Drosophila melanogaster: one gene and its partners. The protein of the gene in region 3 interacts with the protein of the main gene of each other region in a pairwise test. Each region holds a gene or a part of one and is shown on either strand. Other genes may lie near its edges.

Region 1 (6,582 bases), on a different chromosome or scaffold from region 3:
AGGAATTAATTATAGAATGTGGGACAACATTGCAGCACCCATCGCAGGAGTGACCCAGAAAGAGCGTCGAGATTCGCAAGGGGATGTTCCCGGACTGCAAGCGTGTCGCCAATAAGATTTAATTATAGATTGCCGGACTTTGTTTGTCTTGGACTTAGTGGGATGTCAGGTAGATCGATAAAACACATCACTCGGCGTCACAGGTACGCTCATCTTATCGCTCACCGTAACTCCCATTATAGTGCAGCCCCGTGGGCTGGCCACTTGCATGTTTATTCAGCCCAGTCCCAGTCCAGTTCGTCCGGCTAGGCCGCTTTTCGGAATTATTTCGCCACGACACGTGGCGCGAAAGCCGCCAAGTCTTGAGTACACTTGCATGTTCGCCTATAATTTGTCCTCTGCGGCTGCTGCGGCAGCGGCTCCGGCCAGTTTGTTTGAGTCACGTAAATACGGCTGTCAACTTTGCTGCCCGGAGCCCTGTGCATGACATGACCCATATTTCCAGCACCGAGTTCATGCCTGCACTAACACTTGGGCAGACGTGTTTGCAACTGTGTGTCCTTTGTTTGATGTACACAGTTCCAAAATTTATTCCCGGCTTTGAAATTTAACGAACGAACGGCATTTACCCTGATTTCCTTTTCGGTTTTCGAGGGCCGTTCTAGGCGTTTCCATTAACCCCAGTTTCCCTGAGCCAAAGTGCACTTCCACTTGTGCCTACAATGGGGCAAGTGCAGCGAGACGGCGGTATGAAAACAAAAGCAACAACAGCCGCGCGCCGCGTTCCATTTCCGCCGCCTGCACCTGCCACCACGAGGATTGCCCTACCATGAGAACACGGATCTGGGGTCTGGTCGCCTGCCTGTGACTTTTTAATTAGAGCCAATGGGCGGCCAAGTGAGGCGAGGCCGCGGATAATGAGGGAATGTTGAACGCGGCAGTACTCACCTCCTCGTAAATGAAGGTGTCAATCTCCTCCAGCGGCTTTCCGTACATGTGCTCCGGAAAGGGCTCGAATTTGCGGGGCAGCACGTCGCCGTCCTCCACGGAGGCCTTAGTGCGCGGGTGGAAGCCGTACTCCCGCACCAGCTGGATGTGCCGGTTCTCGTGCTTAACCTGCGACCTCTGCGTGTACGCGACAACCTGGTGCTTGGCGACAGCTGAAAGAGATCGAAGGGATTAATAATGCGACAACCAACACAAGCATAGAAATGTATGTACATTCACATGCAGACCCCAACTAAAGTACGTAGACACCTTAAAAATTTTAAGCTTTTACATTCTTGTCAGAGAAATTATTGTGTATTTTAAAATTTCGACTAAATATTAAATTGGAAAATACTGTGTAATTGGCCAGAGCTTAATAAAAGCCTAGCCACTTTCTTATACAGTAGCAGGAAATTTAGCTTGCGGAATGACAACACACCACTTCGTCCTCATCTGTACAGTGAATAACTCCTGCCGTGAGTGAATCCGTCCACTGCTCGTCGCCACATCCGATGCCCGAAAACTCGGTGGTAGTCCAGTTAATGCAGGCCGTCGGCGGCGGAATCGCCGGAGCTGCGACGCGGACCATAACCCAGCCGCTGGACGTTCTGAAGATCCGATTCCAGATGCAAGTGGAGCCGGTGACAAACCATAAGGGGTCCAAATACCGTGGAGTCATCCACGCTTTCAAGTCGGTGTACGCCGAGGAGGGAATGCGCGGTATGTTCCGTGGTCACAACTCCGGCCAGGTTCTGAGCATTTCGTACGCTCTGGTACAGTTCTGGTCCTACGAACAGCTTCGCTCCATGGCCCACCAGTTTGACTACTGGAGGGAGCGACCCTTTCTCATGTTTTTCATCTGCGGCGGCATAGCCGGATGTCTGGGAGCCGTGGCCGCCCAGCCGTTCGACGTGGTAAGAACACAGATGGTGGCCGCAGACCCCTCCTCGCGCCGCAGTCAGATGAACACTTTTACCGGACTTCGAAAGGTCTATAAGATGGAGGGGTGGATGGGACTTTCCCGAGGACTACCCTTCACGCTTGTGCAGGTGTTTCCGCTGGTAGGGGCAAACTTTCTCTTCTACAAGTACCTCAACGCGGCTGTCTTGATGGCCAAGCCTCCCGACCAGCGCCAGGAAATCCACGGCGCATTTCTGTTTCTCAATGGGGCGCTGTCAGGGGTGTTGGCCAAGATGATCGTGTACCCGGCGGACCTGCTTAAAAAGCGCATCCAGCTGATGGCCTTCAAACAGGAACGTAAGACCTTTGGTCGCAACCCCGAGTGCCCTACGATCCTGGGCTGCATCACCACCACGTTTCGGGAGGAAGGAATCGGAGGCTTCTATAAGGGAATGTTGCCTACTCTACTCAAGGCAGGACTGATGAGTGCCGTGTACTTCTCCATCTATGACATGTTTAAGCGCCACTATATAGCTCCGATGAAAGAGGCGGAGAAAAATCGGCAAAAACTGGGCAAGCATTAGGTAAATCACATACTGGGCGGCTGGCTTAAATTATTACACTAACATGGTTTATTTTGTACACCAGTATCTTGGGAGAATGTGTGGAATATGGATGAGCGAACATGTCAAATATAAGTTAAACGTGAACAGTAGACTAGACGACCAGATGGCCAACGACGGACATTGCCGTCTACTTCCAGTTTGAACTGGATCCTGCCCAGCCGCCTGAGGCCGGCGCTGAGTAGCTGTATCCGTCGCCACCGCCGCCGGAAGACCCGCCGTAGGAGCCACCGCTGCCTGAAGCAGCGGCTGCAGCCACCACTTGTGTATCATAGCTGGATCCGCCGCCACTGCTATAGCCACCGCCATGTCCACTGCTGTATCCTCCAGAGCTGTAGGACGAGCCGCTGCTGTAGGAGGAGGCTCCGCTGTAAGAGGATCCACCAGAATATCCACCATCGTAGCCCCCGGAGGAGCCACCACTGTATCCACCGGAGGATCCGCCGCCGTATCCGCCGGAAGAGCCATGTGAATCTCCAGCCGCAGCAGCAGCCACAATCACCTGGGTGTCATGACCTCCTCCGCTGTGACCGCCACCGCTGTAGCCGCCGTATCCTCCGCTGCCACCATGATCAGAGGAGTCTGAGCTGGCGGCGATGGCTGCAATGTTGGCGATGGCATGGCCACCATAACCTCCGCCGTGTCCGCCGCTGCCTCCATGTCCGCCATGTCCGTGATCGGAGGACGAGCCAGCAGCAGCAGCGATGGCAGCAATCTTGGCATCATCATGACCGGAACTATATCCGCCGGAGCTGTATCCGTGGCCACCTCCACCGCCTCCGCCACCCCCGGAACTGTATCCGTGGTTCTCGGTGATAACAGCATAGGTGTTCACATGACCACCGCCTCCTCCACCGCCGCTGTATCCGCCATCGTGGGAGTGAATCTCATAGCCTCCACCTCCATGGCCGCCAAAATCACCGCCTCCGTGGCCGCCAAAATCACCGCCTCCGTGGCCGCCGTGATCCCCACCGCTCTCTGGCAGGTGAATACGGATGTGGACATGCTCTCGTCCGAAGGTGGGCTTTCCCCATACCGCTGGGCTAGCCAGCAGAAGCGCACTGATCTGGGAGTGGGAGGAGGGAATCTGTGTTAGGATCCACCTGAACTGACGTGGTGTCGTGCCAAACTCACTATGAAACGGGCTGCCATTTCTCTGGATTCGTTACGAAGGACTCTCGAATGATTGCTCGCCTCTGGACCGACTGGAAATGATTCGGCAAACATGGGCACACGCCGTTTTATAGCCCTCTTCTCCACTCGGGAGCCATGCGGTTATATAAGCGATCGCTTGCCGCTGAGCAAGTGCAGAGATAATCTCTTTCGCCGACGACGAGCTGAATGAAGTGGAGCCAGACCACTGGAGACTTCACGACCGCGACCCATTGAAGGCCAACTGGCCGCGTCTTCGTCTTCGTCTTCTTCTCGGCCATCCAGTCTTCACTCTCCCTTTCTGAAGATCGCGAGAGTGTTGACCTTTCACATCATCATCCCCAGCATGTGCCCAATTGCAATACCACACGGATAACGTAAAAAAGGGTCTGTGACTCAAAATTATTTTAAATCCCATGGTGTGATGCCAACTTAAGTGTATCAATCATCTTTGGTTTTCCATTTTCAATATTTTACATGATAAACAAAACCGGTTTCGTAGACCAATTTAAGATCGCTAAAAGATATCTTAAATTCCTTTTGCTATATTTACGTAAGAAAATCATATTTTACGAAAGCAGCTTGGATACTGCATAAAAATGTTTTTCTAAATCTAAGACTTTTATTTTGTAATTGTAATACACGGATTCTCCCAGTGCACTAACACACTCTCTCGAGGAGCATTCGCTTCTGTGCTCTACTTTCTTTCGAGAGAAAATCTGAGTGGCCCTAAGCTTCGTGGGCTGGCGGCCGAAAATAGCTAAAACCGAAACTCAAACTGTGGTAATATGCAACTTGACCAGTTCCAGTTTTGGCCCAGAGCTCGTTGCTATTGCTACTTTATCACATCGCCGATGCTGGTTGTTAACCGTTAGGTATTTTGTTGACGTTCATGTTTATGGATTTTTATGTAGATACGACGAACTTCCTATTGGCAATTCCTTATTGTTGGTCCAGACTTGCATAACGATTGGCCAAGGGTTGGCCGGGTTGGCTGCTGCCCGCTGGCTGCTCACTGTCGCTAGTCATTAACCCATTGATGGCCGTACCAGTGCCGGAAATTATCAATATAATTTTGTTTACCAACGCGAAGCAGTGGTGCCGCGGCTGTGAGGCAGGGAAGGAGCCAGTTACTGTTCTTTGGATTGGGCCAGGTCAGGTCGCCGTTTGGCGAGAGGCTCTCGAGCGCTATTGGGTTAAGCCTCGCCTGCAGCAACATCAAAAATATCTTGTCATGCCCCCGCGCTGCAACATGGGCAAAAGGCAACGCGCCGTGGGTTTTGTTCGCGCTTACATCAGCAAGATGTCCGACTGGCAGCGGAGAGAGGTCATGGCCACTGGCCACCCAACACCTCCAACTCACCCACCCACCAATCTGGACGCCCCAACAACCCCCGCCGCCATGCTTTCGCCGTTGATTAGCCACTGTTTTCATTAGCAGTGAGTGACTTGGGCCGAGCCAGCGAATCGGGGCCATCCGGCCATTTCGATTACGTCGCTGATTATCATTTCTCATCTGGCAGCTACGGAGCTAGGCAGCTGACTGCTCGCTCGGCAGATTCCATCACTGCCGAATAATTAATATACATTTAAACTGTTTCGGATTGTAAACAAAGCGGGCTTACATAAGGAACTAGCTGGGAGCAGCAAGCGGGACACCGACGCAATAATCTGTTGCCAATAAAGCCACATCGCCGGTCATAATCACGATGCTGTGCCGAATGAAGTTCGAACTGGAAGCCGCTGAGCTGGAGCAAATGGGCTGCACTCCAGTGCCATCAGAGCATCTTTCAATGGGGATTACATCTTCAGCTAGAGAGGGCCACGCTCACGATGATGAAGCTGCTTCTGCTGCCCCGGCGATGACGGCAATGACGATGGGCAACCGGTTGGCGGTCGCACATTAACATCAGATGCAACGAAGACGCACATCTTCCCCATATTGCATAATCGACCCGGGCTCGCGACTCGAAACTCCAGACCTGCCGTCGCATCTTCACGCGGAAGCAAAGTCATTCTCAAAGCGCCCAAAAACAAAAAGGAAATTGCACACCGATACAGAAACTAAAAGCAACTAGCGACGTGCAATGTCGTGGTTTTCCCAAAAAACCAGTTGCATCCACACACAGAGAGAAAAAGGTGTGCTACAAGTGATTCACGAGATTGTGGGCAACAGTTTTAGAATTGTGGGGAAAGTCTTGAAAAAGTCAATTCGATTTTCTGCTATATTATGGTGCTCTCTTGATACTCCTTATGTACTGCATGCTTTGCTTCGGATTTCCTGGTTTAACTTTCAAAGTTTGTTGTTTAAAGTGCAGCCATTGTTGCAGTTGCAACTGGCATTGCTGCCTCTGTTGCAGTTGCAGCTGCGCAGACCTTTGAGCAAGTTCAATGGTGACGGGAATGGGAATGGAAATTGAAATGGGATTGGGATTTGGACTCGGAGCGGAGGCTTAGGGGGTAGGGCAATTACGCCCCTCGCAGTTGGGGCGCTTGCTCTCGACTGCTTCCTGGCCCTGGCCAAAAACCAAATCCAATTCGAGACTGGCAAGGCGGAAAGGAAGGTGGTCGGTCCAAGCCCCAGCCCAAGCCGAGCCGAAGGAGAAACCGAAACACTGGCTGCAGTGATGCGGGACAAACAAAAGTGAAAAAGTGAATCGGTAGGATAAAGCGAGATGCAGCAACAATTGCTCTACATATTTAATTAGTTTCCGTTTCCGTTCATATTCGTAATCCGCAGATGGCAGCGCCTGCTGGCCTTTGTGCATTGTTCACCTCCCCAGTGAATATACTCCGCTGACAATGGCGCCCTGCGCCCACTTATCAACCCAAGGCCCACCCACTCACTCCTGCTGTAAGGACAAATGGCGCTCTCTATCGGCGCCTGCAAAAACGATTGCGTAACTTATGGCCAGTCATC
Region 2 (10,861 bases), on a different chromosome or scaffold from region 3:
GAGATAGTAAACCAGTTTATATTTAGGTCTTCCGGGTACAGAAAACTCTCACTCGAGAAATATATATCCTTGAAACCATTAGATTATTTGTTAACCGTGGCCTCAAACTTTCACTTTTTCACATATGTTTCTAAATCTTTTAATATCCGAAATCAAAATACTTACGCCGATTGTGCAGTAGAAGGCATGTCCGGCGGTGTGCACCAATTTGAGCACCAGACACTTGTAAACAATGGCTACGGTGATCCCCGCCAGAAGCACATGCGAGATCAGTGTGCAGAAGCCAAAGTAGAGGCCTCCATAGGAACCTTGCAATTCGGCAGTTGTCATTATGCTGAGGATGTCTTAGCTGTGCGAAAATCACTTATCTGCTACGTGAGATGCGCACGTAGAACCGATAAGACGAATCCAAGTATTTGGGCACCATAAACCGAAACCGAAGATCGCGACTGCTCGTGGCGGTTGTTAGAACGCTTTTGAGAGTCTGACGGCATGGAACAGCTGGAAAAAGCCATCGAAAGCTCCGCCAGCGTTATCCGAAAAATCAAACTTTCAAAGCCAGTGGAGCGCGGCGTTTGCAAAAAGTGACTCAGCGGATCGACCCGTTCACGTGTTTTTCACCTTGGGGCGGGAAAGGCGGCAGCGGCCACAGGTGGCAGCGATTGGCATTGCTCTCCAGCTGGACGACATGCGATTATCGGTATTTTTGGAGCAATCTAAAACCGGATTGGATAATTGACCGGCGTTAATCATGGTGAATACACCATGAGTGATTCCCAAAAACAGAGTCAAGGGTGTTGCCATTTCCTAATTAAAGATCAAATTAAGTAATAACAAATCTAACCGAATGTTGAATAATCTCTCTATTTCAAGTTCTGCGTTTAGAATATATATTTACGTAGACTGAACTACGTTAAATTGTGCTTTTTAGGTCCACCCTAAATAGTTGATTTCGATGATCGATGTTGTGAAATTGCTAGCAAAAGCAAATGCGAGACGAATAAACAGCAAAAGGAGAAACAAATAGAAAGATAAGAAGCGAACAATATGATTGGGAATATCCCACAATAACACTTTCCTACAGCGCATTTGTACTAATACAAAATATACGGTTAAATAAATTTTCATACTTATCCGACTACAAAAATAATATCTATTAAATTGGTCATTTTTTTGAGGTAGCGTTATGAGATTTGAAGGAGAGGATTAGCAGAGTTTGAGTAGCTCTACATATGTACCATAGATAGTTCTGTGGATTCATTTCTATTTTCATTTACTTTAGTGATTAACCGAAGAGATAGACATAATCGCGACACATGTCCATGTATGCCTTACTATCTCATATTTATGTATGTAGATGCCAGTTTTTCGGCTCTCCAAACTTAAAATATACCGACTAGGAATTTGGAATAATAAAACATTTTGTTCAGCTTTGCGAACTTTCAATATTATTACGTATACAGTTCACAAAAAAAGGTTCAAGATTCAATTATTCCTGCCTGCATATACATATGATGTATTAGCTTTACAATAGCTTTAAAAAATAGTTTTTTCATAAAAATATTTGTATATTCAGTTAGTTATTATGAGCGTATTTTGCAGGCAGTATACTTTCTGGGTGAAAGCCAAGGAAGATTACTTGTTACAAGCAAATTAATTCACCATACATCACCACAATTTAATTAATCATGAAATTACAGCGTTTTAAAGCTAATTCCTTTCCTAGATTGCAGCGTATTCATATCACCCAATATCACTACTTATAGATTACACGGAACCGAACCGCACGAGAGAAAGAACAAACGGGGAATCACCAAGAGAAACGCAGTTGAGCGAATATCTCTTATATATTGGCATTACTCATCGCTACATTATATACCCGTTTCATTTGCAAGGCAGTGTGAAATACAGCCAAGTGACGTCATCATTCGGCAAATCAAGAGAGCGACATCTAACAAAACAACAACAGCTGACTCAGAGAGAGCAGGAAAGAGTTTTCGATATATATGTACACAACGCCTAGTCAGTTGGTCTCCGTATTTCGATTTAGGAGGCAGTTCCGTTAACACTGCAAATCAACAAGTCCAAATAATATTGCACGCACGTCATTTGCCACACGACAAAAACATAAATATTTGTATTCAATTCATATATTGGGATTTTACGCGAGATCTTCGCAAAAAATCATTTGGGCTTTTCCAAAAACCAGATAATGTACGTAAATTATTTAAAAGGAAAATCTATATTTCAAATCATTGCGAAACACGAAGCGACAGTTATTGGTGACAATTAAAGTGTTAATTATCGAAAAACCCCACACGAAATATGAATAAGTTGTTATAATTTGACTATTGCATGACGATAGTTCTGTGACAAATAACTGAAATATCACTCATGGGCAATCAGTAATACCAACTTTCTGTTCTTCTATACAGTCACGCCTATTTGTTCGCCCTTTATTCGTAATATTCATATAATATATTCATTTCTAAAAATGGTGAAATTCGAAACATTAATTTTTTGCAATTTTTTAGCAGTAAATCCCTATTTCCCATTTATTAGTCCAATTATGATTGAAACTGGCCCGAGTGAATACTCGAATCAATATTTGAAAATATGATGAAAATAGAAACATTCATCTTTGGTGTTTTTGAACAGTAAATTCCCATAAATCCATCCTGTATTGTATTCTTTTGAACAGTATGTTCCCCTAACTTCCTTCTAAAATCAAATTACGAATGATTTTTAAGCTGAAATTGGTCCAAGTGAATACTCACAAATGTAATATTTGTAAATATGATAATTAGAAATAATCATCTTTGATCCCTTTGACCAGTAAATTCCCATAAATTCCTTCTTAAATCAAATTACGAATGATATTTCAGCGGCAACTAGCCCAAGTGAATACTCACGAATGAATATTGATATTGGAGTGCCGGCGTTTTTTGTGGCCATGTTATTATTGTTAAGGTTTTGTTTGCCCAACTCGCGTCATCGATTTCAGTGGGCGCACCACATACACCGCCACACACACACACACACACACACACACCACAACAACACACACTCTGCCAGTTTTATTTACTTATAATTTTTATCAGTTTTTTTTTTTACGACTTGCTCGCCCCACTGGAGCTCGGCTTCGTCTGCCGGGCCTGGGGTTTTAGAGTCGCTCGGTATTATAACAAATCCGTGGGCCATCGAACCGAACCAGTCCCAGCTCGGCTCTGATCCCAGTCGGTCGCAGTCGCTCAGTCGCTAACCAAACTTCCGCCAGCATCGATCCCGCGCATTATAGCCTTATAATATCTGTGCTCTTATTTCCCATCCTTTTTGCCCTCATTTGACCACCAATCCAATCAAAATGCGTCGCGCAGACGCTTTTGCTGTCTCGCTTTGTGTGATTTTGGCCTTGCTGCAGACGATGGAACCGGTAAAAGCCGAGGGGTAAGTCCATATACCACAAATACTATACTATATGATCGGATCGATTTTAAAACACATCTACGGTTAGAGTATTAGTAGAGTCGGGTTAGGAATTCGCAAAAATATAGGCGATAATCAAAGCCAGATATCTAAAACTATAGTTCTTTACAAAGCTGGCCTATAAAACGTATTGTTCTTACTTCGGTTATTCGGTTGATAATTTGAATAAAAACTGATGGCTAAAAATTTTAACCATTTCCCTAATACGCTAGTGGTTGGATTCCCGTCTCACTCGAACACTTAAACACAGATTACTGCAATCCAAACTATATTATCTATGTTTATTACTTATTACCACTATTATATTCACAGTCACTGTATGGCTGTCGTCGAATATTTCAATTAATTAGGTATGCATATATGTATACAGATAGGGCCGTTTTTAATGAACATCAAGGTAATTAAGCTGTTATTTATACGCAAAATCACCTATTAGCTTAATTGTTTATACCATCTGGTTTGTCCTTGGATTTATAGGAGAGTTTTTTTACGGTTTTTACAAATCACTAACCTAATAACATTTTGCTCTACATTTTTCAAATAGTAATTTAACTTTTAGATATATAATTATGTATATAGCAAATGTTAAACATCGTTCCTTATCACACCTATAAGATTAAACACTAGACTTCTGTCCACGTAGTGACGATGAGCACCTAAAAGGGTGAATTTGGGGAAATTCAATAAAATTGAAAATCTGGTACGATAGTCCGATCACAACTATTCACTCACTTCAAAAATATTCAGAATTTCTTTTTTAAAGAGGTTTAGTTACTCCGAACTAATATCTGGTATTTAATTTTTGAGTTGAAGGTGCCATCGCCACTTTAATCTCACCTTGTTGAGGGGTGTTTTATTTTCTTCATTTTTGTTGAGCTCAACTTATGATGCTAATTGAGTTTCACTGTAAGCCATTTTGAATATGGATTTTTATATTTTTTACTCAAACAAGAGGATCACGTCACATACTTTGTTTGCCTCAATGGTTTCGCTGATCAATCTTTCACACGATCTTAAATCTGTACTTTTTCCTGTCCCGCCAATTATTAGTAATTAGAAACGAATATGAAGGTGGGTTATGGAACACACTTAAAAATGTCATAAACTTGAAGTCTAACATAAAAGGCTGGAACAAATCTAATCCAAAAAAGTTAATGATGTTCAGGCTAACAATATTGGTGTACGTGATCGGGGACTGTAAGTGCGAGAAAGATTGCTAATCGCAAAAGCTGGAATTATGTAATCTCTAAGCCGGTTTCATACTTTTCAGTAGAAGATCAGGTTCTGGGAATATTATCCGTTATATATATATATACATATATATTTCATCATTTGCTGTCACAGATCAAAAAAACCATAACTCAAAAACCTAAACCGAATCTTAGACTGCCTTTTAAAGATTGGGAACATTATCAAGTCGAGGTTAATGGTTTTAAGTTTCATTTCTGTGTTTCCCTAGAGATTAGACAATATACATTTATTTTTGAATTCTTAGAGCATGGTCAAGAATTTGATATTGATAATTTGAATATTGATAGCTATAGTTACTATCAAGAAATACAATACTATATATTATACAAATACAATACTACAAATATTTCCAAGTGGATATGTGTATGTTTTTTTCTCTTCTTGGAATTTTTTATGGCCGAATTGTTATTTGATTTTATTTTGTTTTTCATGACAATAATGTTGATGTTTTCTTTGCTTCCAGCAAGTACACCATTGTGGGTCCCGGAACCATCCACTCCCACCGTGACTACAATGTGGCCGTGGCTGTCCATCAGACCAAGGAGCCAGTCACCCTGAAAGTGGGCATCACTGGACCCTCCTACAACAAAACTGAGACCGTGGAACTAGCCACTGCCGGTGAGTTCAAGCAGATCACCTTCAAACTGCCCCCATTGGAGGCGGGTGAATATAATCTGACGGCGGAGGGCGTCAAGGGACTGGAGTTCAAGAACTCCACCAAGCTGAACTGGGAGAATTTCAAGCCATACATTAAAATCCAGACCGATAAGGGAAAGTACAAGCCCGGTGATACTATCAACTATCGTGTGATCTTCCTGGACGAGAACCTGCGGCCGGATACCGCTAAGGATGAAGTGGTGGTTTGGTTTGAGGACTCCAAAAGGAACCGCATCAAGCAGGAGAAACACATAAAGACCACCGGTGGCGTCTACACTGGCAAATTCGAGCTCTCCGAGTTCGCCACATTGGGCTCCTGGTCCCTTCATGTTCAGAATGGAGATCAGCACCACGACGGAGGTATTTACTTTGGGGGTCGTAAACAATTTGGAGGATTTGGTCATCGCTGGCATCGCTCGGATGAGCTCGTCAACTTTGAGGTGGAGAAGTACGTGCTGCCCAAGTACTCCGTCAAAATGGATGCCACGCAGCAGGTTTCAGTGCGAGATGGCGAGTTCAATGTCGTCCTGAAGGCCAAGTAAGTATTACCGGAAGTTTTATGCTTTAGGACATTCTTATATCAGCATTATCCCCCAGCTACACCTATGGTAAGCCCGTGAATGGTAAAGTTCTTGTCAATGTCCATCTGGACTCGACGAGCAGTTGGGAGAATGTGGACGGCAAGACAGTGCAAACGGACTACCCCGGACATTCTGTTGTTGGCACCGCCGACATGGTCGGAGGCAAGGCCAAGTTGACCATGGATCTCAAGGACTTCGCCAGTTATCTGCCGCACAAGACCTCTTCTTCATATGCCCAGATTACGGCTACCGTGGAGGAAGACTTCACCGGCGTGAAGCTCAATGAAACAGGCGGTGTGCAGCTGTACCCCTATCGGTATGAGATGTCCTGCACTGACTACTCCAGTTGCTTCTCCTTCAAGCCCGACAAGGAACATGAACTTAACTTCAAGATTACATATGTCGACGGCTCACTAATTACAGACACCAAGTCTGTTGTGAAGGTGGGTTAGAAATCTTAAGAGATCTGTCACTACTTATAAATTCGTTTTAACTCTAGGCCAAGTTCACTGAAGGAATTCGACGCAATTATGCTTTCTATGCCTTTGGAACAGATCATCAAGAACCGGAATTGCCAACGATTGAGAAGAAAACGTTTGTGTTTGAAAGCCATTTGAATGCGTCTGGTGTGGCGCCTTTCAAGGTGGTTCTTCCCGATTTGCCGGATATCGCCAACTTTACTCGTTACTATAGCATTGAGCTGGAGTTCGTCGATGAAAAACGAGATCTGTACACCACTTATCCCTACAGGGAACCAAAACAGATTGAAAATCCTAGCTCTGAAGAGGAAAAGGAGTGGTTCAGGGCAGAAGTTCAGAGGCCCAAGGACGTCTGGAAGTGAGTACAGTTGAGTTGAGCAAGGGTTCCACGATTTTAAATAACCATATACAATACTTCTATTGCAGCCTCAAGATCGGGCAGGAGTATCAAGTAATCCTCAACTCCAGTCGTCCGCTCAAATACTTTGTGTACAACATTGTGGGACGTGGAAACATATTGGAAACGAAACGTGTGGACCTCGCGGAACCCCAAACGACCGTCAACGTAACCATTAAGCCCACTTTCCTCACTACTCCCTATGGTCGGGTGTACTTCTACTACGTGGATGAGACAGGAGAGTTCCGATATACCGAGGAAACATTCAGTGTGGAGGTCGAGCTGCAGAACCAGATCGAAATCAAGGCTCCCGCGGAAGTTAAACCGGGTGCCGACGTTGCACTGGAGATCAAGACGTCGCCAAAGTCATTCGTTGGATTGTTGGCCGTCGATCAGAGTGTCCTTCTGCTGGGCAGCAACAACGATTTGAACAAGGAATCCTTCAACTGGCGCCTAAATGGCTATGACACCTCAACTCCCTGGCAGGGTGGATACTCCTACTACCCCGGAGAGCGAACTGGAGTCGTGACTATGACCAATGCCTATTTCTTCTATAATCGCACCGCCCCAGACTACAATATTCGTACGTATAAATTTGTCATAATAATAAACCACATTAATTTGCAATTATTGGAAGTTACAGAAGGATTTGGTGGAAGCTCTTTCGCCATGAGAAAGACTACAGTGGCACATGATAGTCATGTATTCCATTCCGGTGCTGGCGGACCAACTCAGGCCGTGGGATTCTCCGCCGAAAGTGCGTCTGCATCTGCAGCACCAGTAGTGCGAAAGAATTTCGCAGAGACCTGGATCTTTGCCGATATCGAGAGCACCGAGGAGGAGGTGTTCAAGTGGGTAAAGACCATACCCGATACGATCACCAACTGGGTGGTCACCGGCTTTTCACTGCATCCCCAGAAGGGATTAGGTGTCACCAATGATCAGACAAATATCAAGACATTCCAGCCGTTCTTTGTCTCCGTTCGATTGCCATACTCCGTGAAGCGAGGTGAGGTGATCAATGTACCGGCACTGGTCTTTAACTACCTGCCCAAGACACTGGACGTGGAACTGACCCTGGACAACGAGGATCAAGAGTATGACTTCGTGGATGCCTCGAATGAGGTTATTGGTGACCAGAAGCGTACGCAGAACATCAGAGTGGGCGCCAACGAAGCGGCAGGAGCCTCATTTTTGATCCGACCCAAGGTCATTGGAAATATTTTGCTGAAATTCAAGGCCATCTCACCGCTGGCCGGAGATGCTATACACAAGCCGCTAAAGGTAGTGCCCGAAGGAATTACCCAGTACCAGAACAGGGCATTCTTTATCAATCTTAAGGATACGGGTGAGTTTAAGAACACCTTCGAGCTGGAAGTGCCGGAGGATGTGGTCCCCGACTCCGAGCGTGTGGAATTCGGATTGGTGGGTGATCTCTTGGGACCAGTGGTCAAGAACCTTGAGAACCTGTTGCGATTGCCCAGCGGTTGCGGTGAGCAGACCATGTCCAAATTGGTGCCCAACTATCTGGTGAGGGATTATCTGAAGAGCATCAAGAAACTCACACCTGCATTGGACACTCGCATCAAGAGGAATCTGCAGGACGGATACCAACATATGTTGCACTATCGCCACGACGACGGCAGCTTCAGTTCCTTTGGGCCCACCAAATGGAGGCAGGAGGATCCAGTGCGCAATGGTTCCACCTGGCTGACGGCCTATGTGCTGCGCTCGTTTAGCAAGATCAAGGATATAATTGACTTGGATGAGCAGATCCTGGCCAAGGGCTACGAATTCCTGTTAACTCGACAGGCAGAAAATGGTAGCTTCACGGAACACGGAGAGTATTTCTATAGCTCCCAGCGATCTCTATTGACATTGACCGCAAATTCCTTGCTCGCCCTGCTGGAGGAGGAGAAACCGAACCAGGCTGCCATTGACAAGGCGGTTGCCTATCTGAGCGCCAATACTGCCGAGTCCATTGAGCTCCTGCCCAAATCCATTGCCATTTATGCCCTGCAAAAGGCCAAGGCGCCGGAAGCTGCCAAGCAGGTGGCCAGTCTTAAGTCCCTGGCCAAACACGAGGACGATCGCACCTGGTGGACCGAGGATCTGGATAAGCTGCGTGCCTCCAAGAACTGCGGACGCTGGTGGTGTTGGATCTGGAGTCAGGATGTGGAGATCACATCATATGCGCTGCTTTCCCTTCTGGATTCAGACCAGGAGACAGCCGACTCTGTTCTGAACACCGTTCGCTGGTTGATCGCCCAGCGTAATGGCTTCGGAGGATTTGCCTCCAGCCAGGACACGGTTGTCGGCCTCACCGCCCTCATTAAGTTCGCTGAGAAGTCGGGCTACGAGGCGGCCAAGTGGGAGGTGACCGTTTCCAACAAGGGAAAGCGTGAAAAGACCGAGAAGCTCAACACATCGGAGGAAAATGACCTGCTCCTCCAGACAGTCGAGTTCCCACAGGGCACCAAGTCGCTGGAGTTTGAAGCCAAGGGAACTGGAGCTGCTATGGTCCAGATAAGCTACCAATACAACTTGGTGGAGAAGGAGCCGAAGCCGAGCTTTAAGATTCAGACCACCGTTTTGCCGGAATCGTCGCCAGCCAATTTGGAACTAAGCGTCTGCGTGGACTACGTGGAGGAGGGCGAGTCCAAGGAATCCAACATGGCCATTCTGGAGGTATCCCTGCCGTCTGGTTATACTGCTGATGAGGATAGCTTCGCCGACATCCGGAACATCGAACGTGTGCGGGTAAGTTTCAGAATCCTTAATACCTGTACACTTTTCTCTTCAATTACCTATAAATTATTCGCTTTGCAGTTGGTGGAAACCAAGAACGGTGACTCCGTGGTGGTCATATACTTCGAGAATCTGGCCAAGAACGAAGAAAAATGCATTCGCATAGAGGCGTACAGAACACATGCGGTGGCCAACCAGAAGCCATCATCGGTGGTCCTCTACGATTACTATGACACGAACAAGAAGGCCACCGAATACTACTCCATCAAGTCGAAGCTCTGCGACATTTGCGAGGGTGACGACTGCAAGAGCAAGTGCTAGAGTATCCAAACCAAAAGGAATCATTAATACTTTCTATCCTTACTTAAAATAAAATTGTGATTATAATGTATATACAAAATGTCTCTTTTACTGCTTTGGGTTACATAAGAGTTATAGCGTAGTGACGAAACGCATCAGTCAGTGTGCTAATGTCCAAATCTTAATGTAGAAACAGTTTATAAGGACCATAAACCAATTGATTGTTTTATCGTAATTAGTTTTCAGTTAGGGAGTTCTTCAACTAACAAGTAAAGGAAGGGACTTTCAGATTCTGAGTTCTGGGATACAAAGAATCAATTTGGATTGCACTTATTTATGGAGCTCGAGAAAATGGGAATGCTTCTGAGCATCAAGCTAGTTGACGAATAAAAAGCCATTAGGTGATCAAACATTGATTAAGAGAACCCCTAAATTAAAAATGATTGTTAAGCGCTTATTCACTTATTATTCAGCTTGGTTAAATCTTACTAAAACTTAGATGGAGGAGATCTTCATTGTTAAATGGGACACTGGGTGAAAGTCTGTGCAACAGATTAGTTGTTTTACCGTAATCGAAAAGAATTTACTTGAAGTCACTTGGAGTCGCAACGGAGTTGCAACATCGAGATAGGCGAGACAGCCTGCAAAAATCTATTATGATCCTCATCGAAACCAAAAGTTGCATAAGCAGATAAATGTAACCAAATTTGTATTGCAAATAGAGGTTAAAACAAGGTAAGTGGCTGCACAAGAAATGGGTTATAAATTTCAAAACTCTTTCAATTCTTCCCGAGGAACGTGTTTGAAAATCAAGACAGAATTACAAATCGATTCGAGACAAAAACTAAGATGTTTACCTCGCTGGACTCGCACAGTAAAAGCCAGTGGAGTTTTGGCCAAATTCCAGACAAACTTTACGATTAATCTGACTGACAAGGATATCCCCCAAATGGAATCAATAT
Region 3 (7,839 bases):
AAGTGAAATACAATTGTATTTATACAAATAGTATTTAACAATAACATGTCCATCTTCTTTTTATAAATTGTAAAAATCTAAAAACTCCTTTATTTCGCTTAAAGCTTGAGCAAATAAAAGTTGTTCCTTTTGACCATTACATTTTGATGGTCAAACGCAGTATATCCGCATAATCCACGAGGATCTCGGGTACGAAAACCGCGCGCGCCTCGACCATATCCATTACAGCCAGAATAACAGGAGGCTCTGGAGCAGGAGCAGGCGGACTGGGATTGGAAATGGGATTGGGAATGGCAACGGGAATGGGAATGGGGCAATGTGGAGCAGGGCAGAGCACTAAGGGCCGAGGACAGCGAGTAGTTGTTGGCCTGCGGCTGCCCGTCCTGGCCAAGTTTGCGAGAAAATCGATTTTAGCGCTGCCTGCGCTCGCACGGGCGGCCTTTTGGATGCGAGTGTCCAGGTTTCAGGTCCAGATCCAGATCCAGCTCCACTGCGAGTGCGATTTCGAGTACGTTGCCCAGTCACAGTGCCATTCGTATTCCCCAGCCTTCAGTCCGCCAGTCGACAGTCCCACTCCCATTTTCATTCCCAGTAGGGGAGTTGCACTCCTGTTTGTCCACAGCAAGAAATACCAAGGGTTATACCTTTAAAAAGTTCGTTCTATGACTTTAAGAACTTAAACGTATAAAAGGATTTAAATTTAATTCCACATTTAAACTATCAAAAAAAAAAAAAGGAATAGCTTTTTTAAAGATAATTTTATAAATTTCATCCACTTTTCCGTTTAAGATTTATTTTGTTTCCCATTCTTGTTTTACAACTCAACTATTAAGATACACATATAGGCCTATCAGTACCATAAATCCACTTTATATCTGTGATTATCTTTATGGGGATGCACCTTTTTTTTGGCTCAGTGTCCGTTCTGTTTGTTTGTTTGTCGCTTTTAATGCTGAACGGAGTTGGCGAAGGCGACTCTTGACTGATTTTTATGCTTTTGGCCCAATTGCCCCGCAGTAGCCGCTCCGTTCGGAGAGCGGACTCCGATGGGCACTGGGCACTGGGCAATGGGCATCGACCGGTTCTCACTGCTCGGTCCTCGGTCCTCGGCCGGGATTACACCTTCCTGCCCTGCGAGGCGAGGTGCCCCCTCAATGCCACCCATTAGCGGCCCTTTGTTTGACTTGCAGTTGCAATATAAGGTCATTCCTCTGCTCTTGTTCTTGCCGGTGTTTTTGTTGCAGTTGCACGCTTTTCGTTTCGTTTGATGGCTGCGCACGCGGCCTTTTGTTAGTTTTCCCCAACCAATTTCATTTTTTCTTTTTTTTTTCCTTTCCATTATTATTATGCTTTTTTCGTACTCTTAAAGGGAACAACATCGGCGAAATCGCAGTCTAATCACTTCATTAGCCCGAGTCTCCCACCGCTTTTGGCCATGTTAACACGTTGTTCGCCTGCAAGTTGCACGAACTTGCTGGCAAAGTGCGAAAAAAAATGGATTTTAATTGAAAAAGTGTGGGAAGTGTAAACATCGATGCGACTTTTGCTTTCTTTGGATTGTTTAAGTGGTGCCCCGGATTTAATGTAAAACAACTAGAATGTATTTCAAAAGTATGAAAAATTCCATGAATTTTCTACAATTTTTGCAATCATAATTGTATAAATTTCAAGCAAATTTTTAATGGCTCTTAATAATAGTGCAAAATCATCGAGACAACTATGCTTTTATGTAAATTTTGTTTTGACCAATTACTCGGAGTATAAGTGCACATTTTGTAGATGTACAATTAAGTGTTGTTTGCCCACAACTAAATGCTTAAATGGAGACCATTAAAGTGGCTTTTAGAGCATCAAAACTCCAGTCGGAAATATCGCAAAAGTTGAATCGCAACTAATTTACTAACCCACACTATATTTGCCTAAAGTTTTCTCACAATTGTAAAGGTGAAATAGCATCAGCTGTGAGTCTGTGGAGCTGTGAAGAGTGCTCCTCTCGCTTATCGCATAATTGGTAGCAATGTTGGCTGCCACTTTTTGCTGCGGCTTCTGTGGCAGCAGGAACCATGGAAGCAGGCGATTCTTTCTCGGCTCTCCACCTCGCCACCGTATCCGTCGCATTCCGGAGATGCCGGCAAAACACTTGTCAGCGACTTAAATGGCGCGCAGCTGTGCGGCATTAGCTGGGGAGAGCTGGTAAGGCTGGGCAGCCAAGATCTGGGAGTTGAGAGGAGACCAGCGAGACCAGGGAGACCAGTGGACACACCTCTTAAGGAGGTGTTGCGACCGCTGCTCCAGGAAGTGGGCATCTGGAGGGGGAAGGCGTAGGGAGCACGGCACTGCAAGTCCAGTGGCGACATTTGATGTGATTATTGAGTTATGCCCACGGGGGCAGGTGCCAGGCATATTTCGCTTAATTTTCTGATGAAGTTATTCACCGAGATATGGAACGCAGCGAAAATGTACACGTATTATAAGCACAGATAAGCTACCCAAACAAGCAGGCACAAAAAAAATAAGAGACAAGGTAAAAGAAGGTGTGGTTGTGTGATTTTAAATGACAATCCTCTTCGGTGTCTAAAGTCGGCAGTTTAGGGTTTTATTTGGACACGGCCACGACAGGTGTTTAAAAAACATTTCAAGTCTCAAAATGTTGAAAGCACACAAGTAATCAATGTTTTTTTAATTGACGTTTAATTATTGCTCGAGACAGAAATTAATTGAGTTCGATAAATCATTATGTCGAACTTTCAATATGTCTTTGAATATTTCATATTATGTGATTCTGCATAATTTTCAATTAAAGAATTTATATCAGTGGGTTAAATGCGTGTTGTAATTTTGCACAAGAACTTTCAATTCGAAAGAAGATACGCACTTTTTAAGTGAAATATGTGACTTTATGAGTCATTCTATCTCAAAAAGGAAGTTTTCAAGACATTAAGGAAGTGTTTATACAATTTAAACCAAATGAGTGAAAAATGGACAATTGTATAACAAAATGCAGAGAGGAAGTGTTGCATAAATAATTAACATTTGTCAGGAAATCTGTGGGCAGCAACAACAAAAAGCCGGCCAAGAGTCAGAATTAGAGGGAAATAAGAGGGAGACAGAGATGAAACGAAAACAGCAGGCACTACTAAATCACCGACAACAACAACAACAGCAACCCCGGAGGATGAGGATAGAGTGGAAATGGGAAGGGAATAAAAACATAAAAAAAAGCGGCACAGATTGCCGAGAACAAGAACTAAACACAGGCACACACACAGTTTGAGCACTCCAGCTGTGTAGTTGTTGTTGTTGCTGTTTTTTCGCCGCTCCTTTCTGCCCTGCAATCAATAAAACGGATTAGGAATATCCTTTAAATGCGGCGCTTGGTGGAGGCTGCACACACACACTATCGCACTCACGAAATCTCCCTCACACACACAAAAGCACACACAGGCACACATGGCTGCAAATCTTTTACAATAACACATATAGGAGGAATAGAAGTAGCGGCACTTACTTTTCGTTTTCGTGTTTCTCCGTTCGTAGAGGAAATTAGGAGATGGCAATTGAAGGTGGAAGAAAGGAGGATGGCAAGGAGGAGATGAAAACAAAACCGAAAAACGTACACTCAAACACGCACGCACACGAAGACACGCAGGGCGCAATGATTTACCGTTACGCGACGCGAAAATGCTCACAGGAATGGCTACCAATTTACTCCAATTTTGATTTTGTCACTTGCATCACAAACATTCACATTCGACCCCAACGACCTTGCTGTTCCTCCTACGCGCAACTAAAGTGCTATGCTACAAATGCAATTTAAATGCTTGCTAAATAACTGGGTTTTTTTTTTCGTAGAGGAACACACACGACGTTTCAAATTAACAAATTGCTGCCGGTTGTGTCTGCGTTATCACGATTCCTTGATGGCATGGCTGATGGTAATTGGTTATTGGCCAGCCTGTTTGCTTATTAAACGGCTCGTTTGGCCACCGTTTTCGTTTCGCTCAATTCTCAATCACAACACACTTGCTTCAGTTTTACCGGCTTTTTCAGTTTCAATTTCACGCGAATAGACCGCTCGAGCTGGTTTTCAAAACGACCGGATCTCGAACATTTCGACGACTGACCGCGCGGCGATAAATGCGTTCGTATATATTCGTATATGTTGCTTGCTCCATCTGGCATTTTTAGCATCACAGCCGAGCTCGCGAACGGTCACTCTCTTGGTTCGATGCAACCGATTTAGTTCGAGTTCGAAGGGTTTCGAACTTACGTTTCTTATATTAAAAGAAGTGCACAAAAATTCAATAAATTGTTTGTTTCTATTTATATTTCATAATTAGAAAAGTACAATTATTGTTTACCGTTTTCTTGCCCGTAGATCATTTAAATTTAGCCGCGCCACAATTGCATTCTTATATTTGAAATACGTACTAATTGGGCGAATTTAGTTCATTTAGTACAATTGATGCGCATGCGTCTCTCTTGAAAATTAAATTCTCTCGCATTTACAGTGCCAAGATAACTGTTAAGCTAACAGCTGTTAAGTCTAAGCAATAAATAAAAAAATAGTAAACTGTATAAATATCAGTATTATTAAAAATATTTACATTTATTTCGTTTCTTTTTGTTTTTGGCGGTTTCAGAAACCAATTCAGAAATTTAATTTACAATTTTTATGAGTTCAAGCTTTGAGCGATTTGATTGAGTGGTTCGATTTCCGTATCCAGCGATACAGAGGGCAGCACATGAAGCACCAAAAGCACCCGGGATCACACACACATCCTTGGTCCTGGAACATCCACTCCTGGGGATCTCGAAGAATACAGCCACAAAATTGGAAGATCTATGTATATAGAAAGTTTTGACCGCTCACACGGCGGTGATGAGATGGGCGTCATCCTCGTTGATTCGATCCGACTTTCCATTGACCTCGATCGTGTGATTGGACTCGGTGTCGCTGGGTTCCTGCTCGACCTCCTCATCCGCTTCATCGTCCTCGTCCCCCTGGGAGGAGTTCTCACCATTTTCCTTGTCGGGCGATTCTCGCTCCTCGTTTTCCTCGTATATGACGTCACAGCTGGTGGCTATTGATTTGGGCGGCGGCTTCTTTACCGCTTTTCCACCGCCTTTGCGGTCACCATTTTGTTGCATCTCGGACATTTGAATCTGCATTTCCCGCAGGCGATCGGTGAGCACATACAAATCCCGCTCCTGACTCTCGCATCGTGTCCTCAATTCGGTTATCTCACGCAGATCCTCGGCTCGAGGATCTCGTCTTTCGTATCGCATGCGCATCTCCTCAAATCTGCGCAAAAAGGATTGCAAAATTCCTTAAATATTTACTATATTCACTACTAAACTACCAAAAAGGATAATGGTGAATTCAAGGCGGATGCTGGATACTGACTTGGCGTACAACATCCCACAACACGGACAAGCAAAAGTAAGATAAATTTGTGTTAAAGATAAAAAGAGTTAAAAGGTCGAGCTCTTAAATCCCTTTCCTTTCCGATTTTATTTTTTTATTTTTCAAAATTATATAAAGATAAGAATCTTATATTTTAGCAAAATTCGAAAGTTTCGAATCATAATTCCATAGATCTGTGGTCTCAATCACACTCAATCTTTTAATTAACTTTCCTTAGACTTAGGAACTCGACCTTGGGGAAGATGGGTCAGGGTGGCTGGTGGTTTTTGGGGAATGGGTGCACTTACAGATTGGTCAGGCAGCGGCACTTGCGATGCAGCTGCTCGATCTCGTTGGCGTTGCTGATGTCGCGCTTGTCCAGCGCCGCCTTCTCGGCATCGTAGGCCGCCTTCAGGTCCTTGAGATTGCGCTGGTGCCGAAGTTCTACATCGCTGCGGTTGCGGATGCGGATACGAATGCGTACGCGGATACGGATGCAGATTCGGATTCGGGTTGGGGTTATTCAGGTTATATAGAGTGGTCAGAGGTTGAGGTGGATACACACACATAGCGAGAAAGAGAAAGTAAAATATTAGGAGAATCGCACCAGAAGGACAACGTTTGACAAGCTGCATGCCAGATAAAAACATATTTTTTTTCTTATGGGTTTTGTTCGCATTTCAAACATTTCAATACCAATGTCTTATGTCTAACAAGAGATTTTCGATGATGGCCAGTCTTAAATTTAAATCAAGAATCATTTTAAGCGTGAAAAGGGGGATTAATATTTTATTGGCGCGCTAGGAGGTGGCGATATTTGATATAGATCACTGCGACAATATTGAACACCAAGCATGCAATGGCGATCAGCGGCGACATGGTCAGATATAGCACATATAGTGTGGGCATATACGGCCACGCCCCCTTTGCAAACGCCCACAGGGCTGGAGAGGCTGTCGATCGACCTAAACGCTGATCCATGCTGATCCAATGAATGAAATGTGAAACGAAAGAGAACAGAATACAAGTTCATGTGATAATGGATCGAGTTCAAGGACTCCAATGTGACAAATGTGGCAAATGAGTAGGATGCAGACATTCAATGCAAGCCAATGGATCCTGCTTCAATTTAGTGGGGAGCAGCGGTCAGGGGGCACTATTAAGGTAAGTATGCCCATGGGGCGGGGCATGCCACATTGCATTCACTCACTTGATTCGTTCATCGGCAGCGGCCATTTTTGCGCGATGTCGCTCCACAAGTTCCTGCAACGCCTCCTCCTTCTCCGCCTGCAACTTGGCCTTTTGTGAGTCTGCCGATTGATATAATCAATTATATAATTATATATAATAATAATCAATATACACATGTATCTTTACCCAGCTCCTTTCGATGTGATTCGACCATTTCCTGAGTGGAGAGCTGCAGTTCCTTGGCAAACTCCTCCTTAACTTGACCGAGACGTTCGCGGAACTTCTCCTCCATTTCGGCCTTCTCCGCCTCGAACTCCTTCTGGAGTCGTTCCTCCAGCTCGACACGGCGATCCTCCTCGCGGCACATGGCATTCTGGTACTCGCGATCGGCCTTATCCAAATGCATTCGGGTCTGAAGCAGGGCGTTATCCGAACGTTCGCGCAGGCTGAGGAAATCCTGTTTCTTTTGCTCCAGGCTCTCGTGCAGATCGTCAATCTAAATGATGGTTTATAAAATGCAAATATGCATTCGATTGCAGTTTATCTATAACACTATGAACCCACCTCAGATCGCAGTTCCTCCTCGTTGGCCGTGTATCTGTTGGTCAGGGCCCTCAGCTCCTCGATGTGCTCGTTCTGCAGTTTGTCCAACGCCTCGCGACGCTCGTCCACATACACGGACTCCAGTTCATTTGTCAGTCTTGTCATCTCTGTGCTGAAGGCATAAAAGTTCAATTTGGAGCACTCAATATGATGACTTGTGACTTACTAAAGTTTGTTTTCCCAGAAGGCGGCTGCCTCATTTCGCACCTCATCGATTTTGTAGATCATTTGGCGTTCCTTATCATAGATGGCACTGTAAAAAATATAATCATTACAATCAAATTCCATGGATAATTCCCAATTATACGCACTTATCACACTGATACTTGATCTTGTGCACCGCCTCGATCTGGGCCTCGAGGTTTTCATTGGCCGACTGTAGATCTCCCTTCAGGTTCTCGATGCGATCCATTAGCGTCTGGATGGACTGCTCCTGTTCGCTGACCACGCCCCTCAGCGAATTCACCTGCGCCTGGCAGGTGCGCAGCATCTCGGACTCCCTACGGCGGGACTGCAACTCCAGTTCCAGCTCCTCCGCCTTGGCGGTCGCCTGCTTTCGCTCGTAGTTGGACTTGTCCGTCTTGTCCTTGCACTGCCGCTGCATCTGCCGCAGTTGCCACTCGCAGTCCGTCATCAAA
Region 4 (7,992 bases), on a different chromosome or scaffold from region 3:
TCTCTATCTCCCCACGTAGTAAAACTAGAAGAAACGGTGGCAGATCACATACTCTTCGATCGTATTTTAGGGTTTTTATTCTCCATTCGACAGATGTGATATCAGAGTGCTTTAGTATGCGGATTAAGATGGACAGCCGAGTAGTACTAGGCTTTGTAGTGGGCGCCATAAGGAAGTTGAATCAATAAAAAGAATAAAGTGGAATGAATCCTACATACTCTTACCATATCGAAAGTCGCACTTTTCAATCATCTATCAGTGGAATCTTAAGTATCTGAACCAATAAACTGGTAAATAAATCTATTTTCAATTGAAAATTGAATTTATCTACGGTAGATTAAACATAAAATTCAGAATATGTAACCAATGTTTTAATATATTCCCATCTTATGAGAAAGAGATCCCCATACATTCTAAAGTCTTAAGTCGTCCGAGTTATTCAGCCATTTCAAATTCCCTGAAAGGTTATCAAGAACTTAACCCAAGCATAATGCCCGAGATCTGTGCCAAGTGTTCATTGAAACGTTTATTAATACTCAGTTAAGTTGGCCTCCGGCTACCAGAACATTTCCCACCAAATGTCAACCGAGTAATCCGCCGCAAGCATAAAGAAAAACCGAAACCAGCGGTGGAAACACCTTCGAGTGTACACCTAAACGCATACATAATCCTCAGGCCTGAAATTTATTAAATACTTTTTAATGCCATCGGTTTGGTATAGATCATGCCTAGACCAGGCATATATCTTTGTCCAGCACCCACGCACTCATCAAGTTGAGGCCCCAAAAAACAAAATCCCGCCATGGAGACGCCAAAGAGGCCATCGTCAGCATGGTGAAGACGACGCCACATCTACATGATTATTAAAGCGGACAAAATCAGAAATCAGAATCAAAGTCCGTCTCCATAAAGCGACGAGTACATTGATTGACATTTAATTAAGCAAAAGCAAATGCACACGGAAGCCGCAAGCCGATCAATCGGCAACCAAAACCGCAACTGAGAAGGGTTGGATGCTATCCAGATCATCATCTTCACCCACTGGCCGGGTTTGGACCCCTCCTCCACTGATTCCAAGCCGATTGAACAAGTTTGGCGTCACTGTCATTGCAGTGACAAAGGCGTTTCTGGTCGATCATCAAAGGAAATTTGATGCTTATCGGAAAAGTCATTTCATCAGATTAAACGGCTGGCCAGAAGAGAGGCAGGCGAAAGGGAAACCAGAACCCTGGGTAGCCAGTTGGCAGCGAGGGTCGATCGAAGGGTATGATCTACACCGCAGAGGGATGGGAGATGCATTTATCCAAGTGCCACTTTGATGTGGTAAATGTTTTTATAGCTACTAATCCCATACATACATACTTCTGCTTTGGGAGCTTAGGGGCCTACAATAATATTATGATTAGCCTGAGAGATAATTAATGCTAATGGTAAAGAACTATTATGACAATCCTAGTGGTTAGTTAAGTGGTTGAACTGTTCTATAAAATACCTAGAATATATTAAAAAACAATTCGAAAGATATTGAACTATTTGCTTGTAGTTCTTATAAGATGAGTACCAAAATTCGATAGCTTTTCGATGATTTATGTTACACTCCTAAGTCTGCCCTCGTGCGGCATTAGAAATTCAAATATTTTGACTCTTTTTTTTCGATCGCGCCAGCATGCAACCGCTGGTACCGGTGGTGTCCACGTCCACGTCCCCCCGGGCGTTTAAAACGGCGCAAAAACTGAAGCAAGAAGGAAAACGCTGGCGCGGCTACTGCGCATGCGCGACGCGAGTTGGCAGCGGTTAAAACCGCGCTTCTGCGCAGTCGCGTGTGGGCAGGACAAGTTTCGCTGCCGCCGCGGGCGTCGTGTCACTGAAATCAAATCAGCCGGGCTTAAATGCTCAGCCAAAAACTTCGCTGCGAGTTTGTGGGGCTGTGAGTTGGAGCTGTGAGTTGTTGGAGCTCCAAGCGCTCACTGAGGCTGGCAAACCTGCTGTCAGTCGCTGGTTTGACATGGAAAAAAAAAATCTATGCCGGCGCCTACGCAGCACGAGAGTGAAAAATCGGGAGAAAGAGCGCAATCGCGCTGTTAAGCCACTTAGGGAAATTCTTCGGCGGATTTTCATTTGCAGTTAACTTTCTTCAGGCTTTGTTTAATTTCAAGCAGTCAGCCTATTATAATTGGAGGCAACCAAATAGAGCGAGGTGAACTGAATTGATTTCGAGCAGCCTGATAAATTGGTTTCATCATAATGGACTTTGTGTAACTTCCGGCGCAGTCCAAGCATTTTTTTGAACGTTGTTTTGGAAGTGTCAAGATTAGGATTGGATTCAATGTGGAGTTCAATAGTCTCGGACGGCACTTGACGTCGTCATTTTATTGATTTCTGTATTTGTATCGATTTGAATTTAGGCCCGGTCTTTTTGTCGTCGTTTTCCCATTCAATTTTTGACTATTTATATTCGACAAAAATGCAGTAGTTGACAGCTGAAAATGTGGCTTTTCAGGTGTTATATGGAGTCCTATTTCAAAATATTGAAAGGTCTGTCAATTATAAGTCGGGTGATTGAGATTTCTGGTATGGTAATTGCCACCTGCCAAGTTGCTCAATCGCAACAGCAGAGTACATAAAAATGATTGAAATTGTAGGTGTAAAAACGCATAAATCACAATTTAAAGACCCGTAAGAATGGTATTATTATAATCTCTGTAATCTTGAATCTTTAATCTTGCGTTGAGCTAAACATGCATGATGACTACTTTTTGATGTAAGCATAGCCAGCAGCTAGAAACTGTCTCAAATCGTATTATATTGCCATCAATTAAATTTATACAGCGGCTATATAATTAAATGTTTATTTTTACCAGGTGTTTGTTGGACCGCACCTTGCTATCAGTGGTCGTCTTTAAATAATTTGCATATCTTCGCAAAATATCTAAGGAAAATAATATGCGTGATAGATGCTACTATTCTTGCCCGGATAAAAGTATACATTTCGGCGCAATTTTCGTTGGCAATCTTGTCAAATCGCTTGAGAATGTGTTTAATCTGTCATTAGGCCAAAACCGAAAACCCATTAACTTATGTTGATGAACCATTAAGGCAAAGTCGCGTCTCCATTCGACTTGAATTGGTTTTGAAGCCCGCAGTCCAAACGGCCAACACAAATAGCCTTAGCTGCTATTGTGACTTTGCTCCATTTGAATTGCAAATTCCGACTGAAGTCAATACAAAGCATTAAAATTTGTTAGCCTGATTTGCCGCAGAAGGTTCGGATATTGGTGTCCAAATGACTTTCCACTGACGATGCGCTAATTTGCTGGTGCAACAATTTTCCACTTAATTTGCATTTGTTTATGAACTCATAACTCGCTGCCAAGCGGAAATTCCATAACTAACAATGGCAATATTATTTATGTTTTAATAATGTCAAACTCGAGCTCCAAATATGGCCAGCAAGATATTACCATGTCTGAAGAGTCATCTCTGTGTGGAGCGCCAAGGGGTGTCAATGTTTGGACAGAGAATAAGAAAACACCAAGCTCCATATTTGAATAATTATTCAGTGAATTTCTGTCACATCTCATTGCAAAACTGAACAGATCGATCTTATTTGTCCGCTCTATTGAAGGGAAAGTATCTATCTATTGTATAGATACATCGATACAACGAAGTCATAGGCCTAGCTAAAAGTATCTCCCAACTATTGGTTACTACATCTTCAAGATTAATACCCCTTCGGGTCACAACGCCACTGCCGCTAAATAATATATTCAAATAATAAAATAACCGCAAGTCTGAAATGTCTCTCGAACAGGCAGTTATAAATTGTTATGGGGATCTTTGCAGTGGGCGTCTTTTAATTGAATCGCTTGGAATTGAGTAGCAGAGCCCAGTAGAAGCTGCAAAGTGATTGGGAAATCGAGCCAAATAAAATTAAGTATTTTAACCGTTGTTGGGGAATGTGACCAGCTTCATTTGGTCAACATCATTAGCAATCTGTGGCTGCCGTTTCGAATCACAATTCATATTTGTTGGAGGGGAAAATATTCTGTGCTCTGACCTTATATGATCCACATAATTATAGTTCTCGCAAAGGCATAAACCTCAATCTGATCTGCTTTAAATACGTGTGGAAAGTCCGGTAATTAATAAATTATGACTCGACTGCGGTATTTATGGCGCCAATGCAGATAAGATCTCCCCAGATCCCCCATAGATTAATGTCGCTCGAATGGTGAGGATGCCACAGGCCGATTTTGCCGCCAGATTGCGGTTGACTTGGGTGTGGCTAATTAATATGTATCGATAGTATTTGAATTACAACAACAATTAGCTTGATTTATCATCAGATATAAAATGGCGGTGAAATGAATAGAAATCTTGTGAGGCGCTCATAAAAAATATTCATAGATTGGCCTATCAACAACTTGGTGATTATCATGCAATAAAGTCGAATGAAAAGGAGTTAAACTGCTGTGGGTGTGCAGCTAGAAGATGCGATTCTTTAGTCTACAGTCTGTTAAGATTGAAAACAAGAAATTAGCATTTAGCTATTAATAACTTTCTAAATGAATGATATTAATAAACATAGACCCAAGTCGTGATTACTTCCGTATATCTTTCGTTTATCTTTACGATCCTGAGAATATGTTAAAAATGAGATGATGCATCATTATTAACGCAACTTCTTTAAGAACAACTTAATATGCTCTAGTACCTTCCAGGCACTTGAATATGGAATGCACTTCGCACCTGGCCACTTGGCGCACTCATTTTCCGAGTGAGCGGAGTGTAGCCCAGATTTTGGCCACACGAATAAGCAGCATATGTAGAAGCCCGGAGGTCTGGCCCACCTTCACACTCACCTCGTGGTCAAGGACGCTGCTCTTGCTCTAGAGGTGCCCCCACTGCGGATGTGGATGTGATCCAAGTGATCCACTTGGCGGGACGGAACTGACAGCTCCTTGTTGTTTGTGCGGCTCGTTTGCGCCACTTGCGGCTGTCAACGCGCAATTTAGAATGGAAACGACCTGAGTTATTTTTACGAGTATTGCCACACTTTTCCGCCGCTTTTTCCTGGACGCCCGCACAGACACTTTTATTATGTTGTACTTTTGCAGAGCGAAAGATCAAACACGTCGCAAGGGTATCTTCACACTAAAAGAATCGATAACGAAACGGATGCATTAGACCATTTAAACCCTTTTCGAAATACGCGCCAGGTAGAAAAGCTGGATTTTGGAATGGGGACACACGCGAAGATTTCGTGGAGTCGATTTTATGGAATCGCGGTGGAGAACACGCGACGCCAATGCCTACAATCCTCCAGCAACGACAACTGCTCCGCAACTGACTCGCCCGTTCGTGCCAATAAAAATTAAAACACTTTTATGCTATTAAGGCGAACGCGACGCGATCTTGGACACCTTGGATGCAGAGGATGCTGCTTGAGGATCGATCGGATTTAAAAATATGGGCAAAAAACTTTGTACAGCGCGGGCTGATTTCAAAAGCACACTTAGGAAGCGTTTGAAAACTGAAACATTCTCGCGATAGTTCGATCGATTGATGCTACTGATTTATCGCCAAAACTAATCACTGATCACTTATCGAAGCACCTAGGACACGCACCGTCTTGTTCAACGTTCCAACGCGAACTGAAACTGAAAATTTGAAAATGCAAAGGGAATGATCGACGCGCAGCGTCGACTGAGGCAGCGGCAGCGCTGTTGGCTGGAGCAACTTGGAGCAGCGACAACTTGTTGTTGCCTTTCTGCGTTTCTGTTTTGTTCTCAGCTGTTGTTGTTGCTCTTGGGAGAAACGCGGCATTTTGTCTTCGTTTGTGTTTCTTTTGATTTGACGCGTGAGTAAGCCGCGACGCCCACGTGCAAAATTTGCGTAAACATCGACAGTGTGGCCAGATCGCTGCTGAATAATTGAGGAAGTGAGTGGAAAAAGTGGTAGTCAACTTTCAGATCTCATATCTTCCGCTTCCTTAGTAAAAAATAAAATTTTATAATGGGTAATCTTCTTTAAAATATAGGAAATTTAAAATTTATTTTCTATATAGAAAATGTTATTTTAAATATTCTGTAACGATCAGCGCAGTTTTCGTTTGTGCGCTTTAAGTTGCAATTATGTAATATATTGTTTAAAACTGCTGTGTAATTTGTAAGAATAAATATTTTGGTTAAAAGTCGCTCTCTGTGATTATATTTATGGGTAATTACTTATTGTCTTCAGTTCATTAGTTTATCCACCAATTATTATGGTGGAGTCGCCCACTTGGGCTGCCCCAATTGTAGATCGTTTGGGCCATTAAACTGAAACTCAATCCCGAAACATGCTTACATTGTAGGCCCGTTTAAGGCCATTAAATCGGATTCGTGCGAACCCTTTTCCGATAATGCGTCCATCCTTGTTTTCGACCACCACCTCCAAATCCAAAGGAACTCGGTGGATGGGGCCAGACTTTTGCTCTTTTGAAATGGAGATCGTAAATAAACGGCACGCTCTGCAGGCATTCAAAACAGACGAACTACTCGTTAAAACCAGAGCCCAAAATGATATGCATATGGCACCTATTAATGGCTACTTATGCAGTACAAGTGTCCCCCATTTCGGAACTCCCTCCACTCCTATTTGCCGTTGACACGGGACTGATGCGTAACACGACAGTAGCATCGGGATCCAAGGGAAAGGGAAGTTGAATGAATGGCCCGACCTGTTCGTCATTATGTCGCCGGCATGTCAGCGGACAGTTGGAGGAGGGCATTATGCAGATGTGCATTTATCACGGAGTTGCGGTGCTGCGGACACACCCGAGATGCTATCCCACATCAACGCTGCATATTTTGCCGCTTTTCGGACAGCGGCGACCACTTGCTGAAATTTCATTATGTGCGTGATTTATAAATAAGCCTCGCTGGCCCCACGCCCCATTCCACACACTCCTCGTCCGAATCCTCCTCGAGTTGTTCCCAGCATCTTCAGTGGTTACGAGCTAAGACGTCCCACGCACTTTTCGACGCCGCAACAGCAACATCAAGTCTGATCTCCTCCGAAATGCCCCACCTTTACCCCACCACCTCGCACTGCAGTTCAGTGCGTATTAATCATAAAATTGTATTATTAACATGTTTATTTTTCGGTCTTCAAGATTCGATTACACGCATTCTTCCTGCTCTTCGTGTGCAGCGCTTTCTGGAGTGTTTTTTTTTCCTCAGCGAACGTGACTTTGTTGTGCAGTGTAACGAAAGTGAGCTACTTTCTAACACTCTTAGGGGGGTTTGGGATTATCATCAGCCTTCAATTGCTCTAGGAAATATTGTCATTTTACGACTTCGCCGGTTAATTGGGTTACGTGGCTTTGGCCACTGATGCCGACCAGGCCAGATGCCTTGCACCTGGAAATAGTGTGGGAGTTGGCAAGACATGGTTTGATTGGAGTGAAGTTGGTCAAGCTTCCGGCTTAATGATTCAAAGGAGAGTGTTTAATGGCAGTTGATAAATATGCATATCTAAGTGCAAATATTTACCTAAAGGTGTTACCATAGCTCTCCATTCACCCTACAAACTAAAAGCAAGTGCTTATCACTTAATTTCCAACTCAGCCCCTTTTTTTTTGGGCCAATACAATATAATTAAAAGTAGTTAAAGGTCAATTCACCAGCTTATCGGGGAAGTAAAACTGGTTTGCTCGCATATCAATTCAAAAATATTGAATAAATATTTAAGGGCCCGTCGGTGAGTGTATAATTAACGTGGAGGGCTTAAGCCATAAAACTAGTGATTAACGCCAAGTTAACAACAAAAAAATAAACCGGCATTGCGGGCTCTTCGCAAACAAAACTCAGCATGTTTTCTATAATTTTCAAGATCCATTTATTCAATTTCGTTTATAATTATTTGTTATGAATAAATTATTTTAAATTAAGCAATAATCCGACTAACTAGAGTATATCTAACAGTAAGCGGCATTACATCTTAATCGTA

What was found.
Region 1: the proteins of SKIP (region 3) and CG9083 interact in a two-hybrid assay, tested with the Drosophila melanogaster proteins (one large-scale study listed by BioGRID).
Region 2: the proteins of SKIP (region 3) and Tep4 interact in a two-hybrid assay, tested with the Drosophila melanogaster proteins (one large-scale study listed by BioGRID).
Region 4: the proteins of SKIP (region 3) and Tsp interact in a two-hybrid assay, tested with the Drosophila melanogaster proteins (one large-scale study listed by BioGRID).

What each region holds. Positions count from the first base shown.
Region 1 is NT_033778.4:24,895,422-24,902,003, reverse strand, and holds CG9083 (uncharacterized protein), read right to left. Parts: upstream 3,732-6,582; 5' UTR 3,663-3,731; coding exon 3,645-3,662; exon of another isoform or gene 3,577-3,644; coding exon 2,641-3,576; 3' UTR 2,499-2,640; downstream 1-2,498. Other genes in the region: Tpc2 (thiamine pyrophosphate carrier protein 2), read left to right, coding at 1,500-2,471; NaCP60E (Na channel protein 60E), read right to left, coding at 949-1,160.
Region 2 is NT_033779.5:19,546,482-19,557,342, forward strand, and holds Tep4 (Thioester-containing protein 4), read left to right. Parts: upstream 1-3,211; 5' UTR 3,212-3,364; coding exon 3,365-3,447; intron 3,448-5,200; coding exon 5,201-5,932; intron 5,933-5,991; coding exon 5,992-6,418; intron 6,419-6,474; coding exon 6,475-6,812; intron 6,813-6,880; coding exon 6,881-7,434; intron 7,435-7,488; coding exon 7,489-9,611; intron 9,612-9,680; coding exon 9,681-9,920; 3' UTR 9,921-9,970; downstream 9,971-10,861. Other genes in the region: CG10337 (uncharacterized protein), read right to left, coding at 166-330.
Region 3 is NT_033777.3:22,130,121-22,137,959, reverse strand, and holds the start of SKIP (shal K[+] channel interacting protein), read right to left. Parts: upstream 4,131-7,839; 5' UTR 3,509-4,130; intron 1-3,508. Other genes in the region: CG42390 (uncharacterized protein), read right to left, coding at 4,870-5,305, 5,716-5,859, 6,207-6,389, 6,618-6,717, 6,785-7,094, 7,163-7,313, 7,368-7,454, 7,513-7,839.
Region 4 is NT_033779.5:6,703,425-6,711,416, forward strand, and holds the start of Tsp (thrombospondin), read right to left. Parts: upstream 5,663-7,992; 5' UTR 4,863-5,662; intron 1-4,862.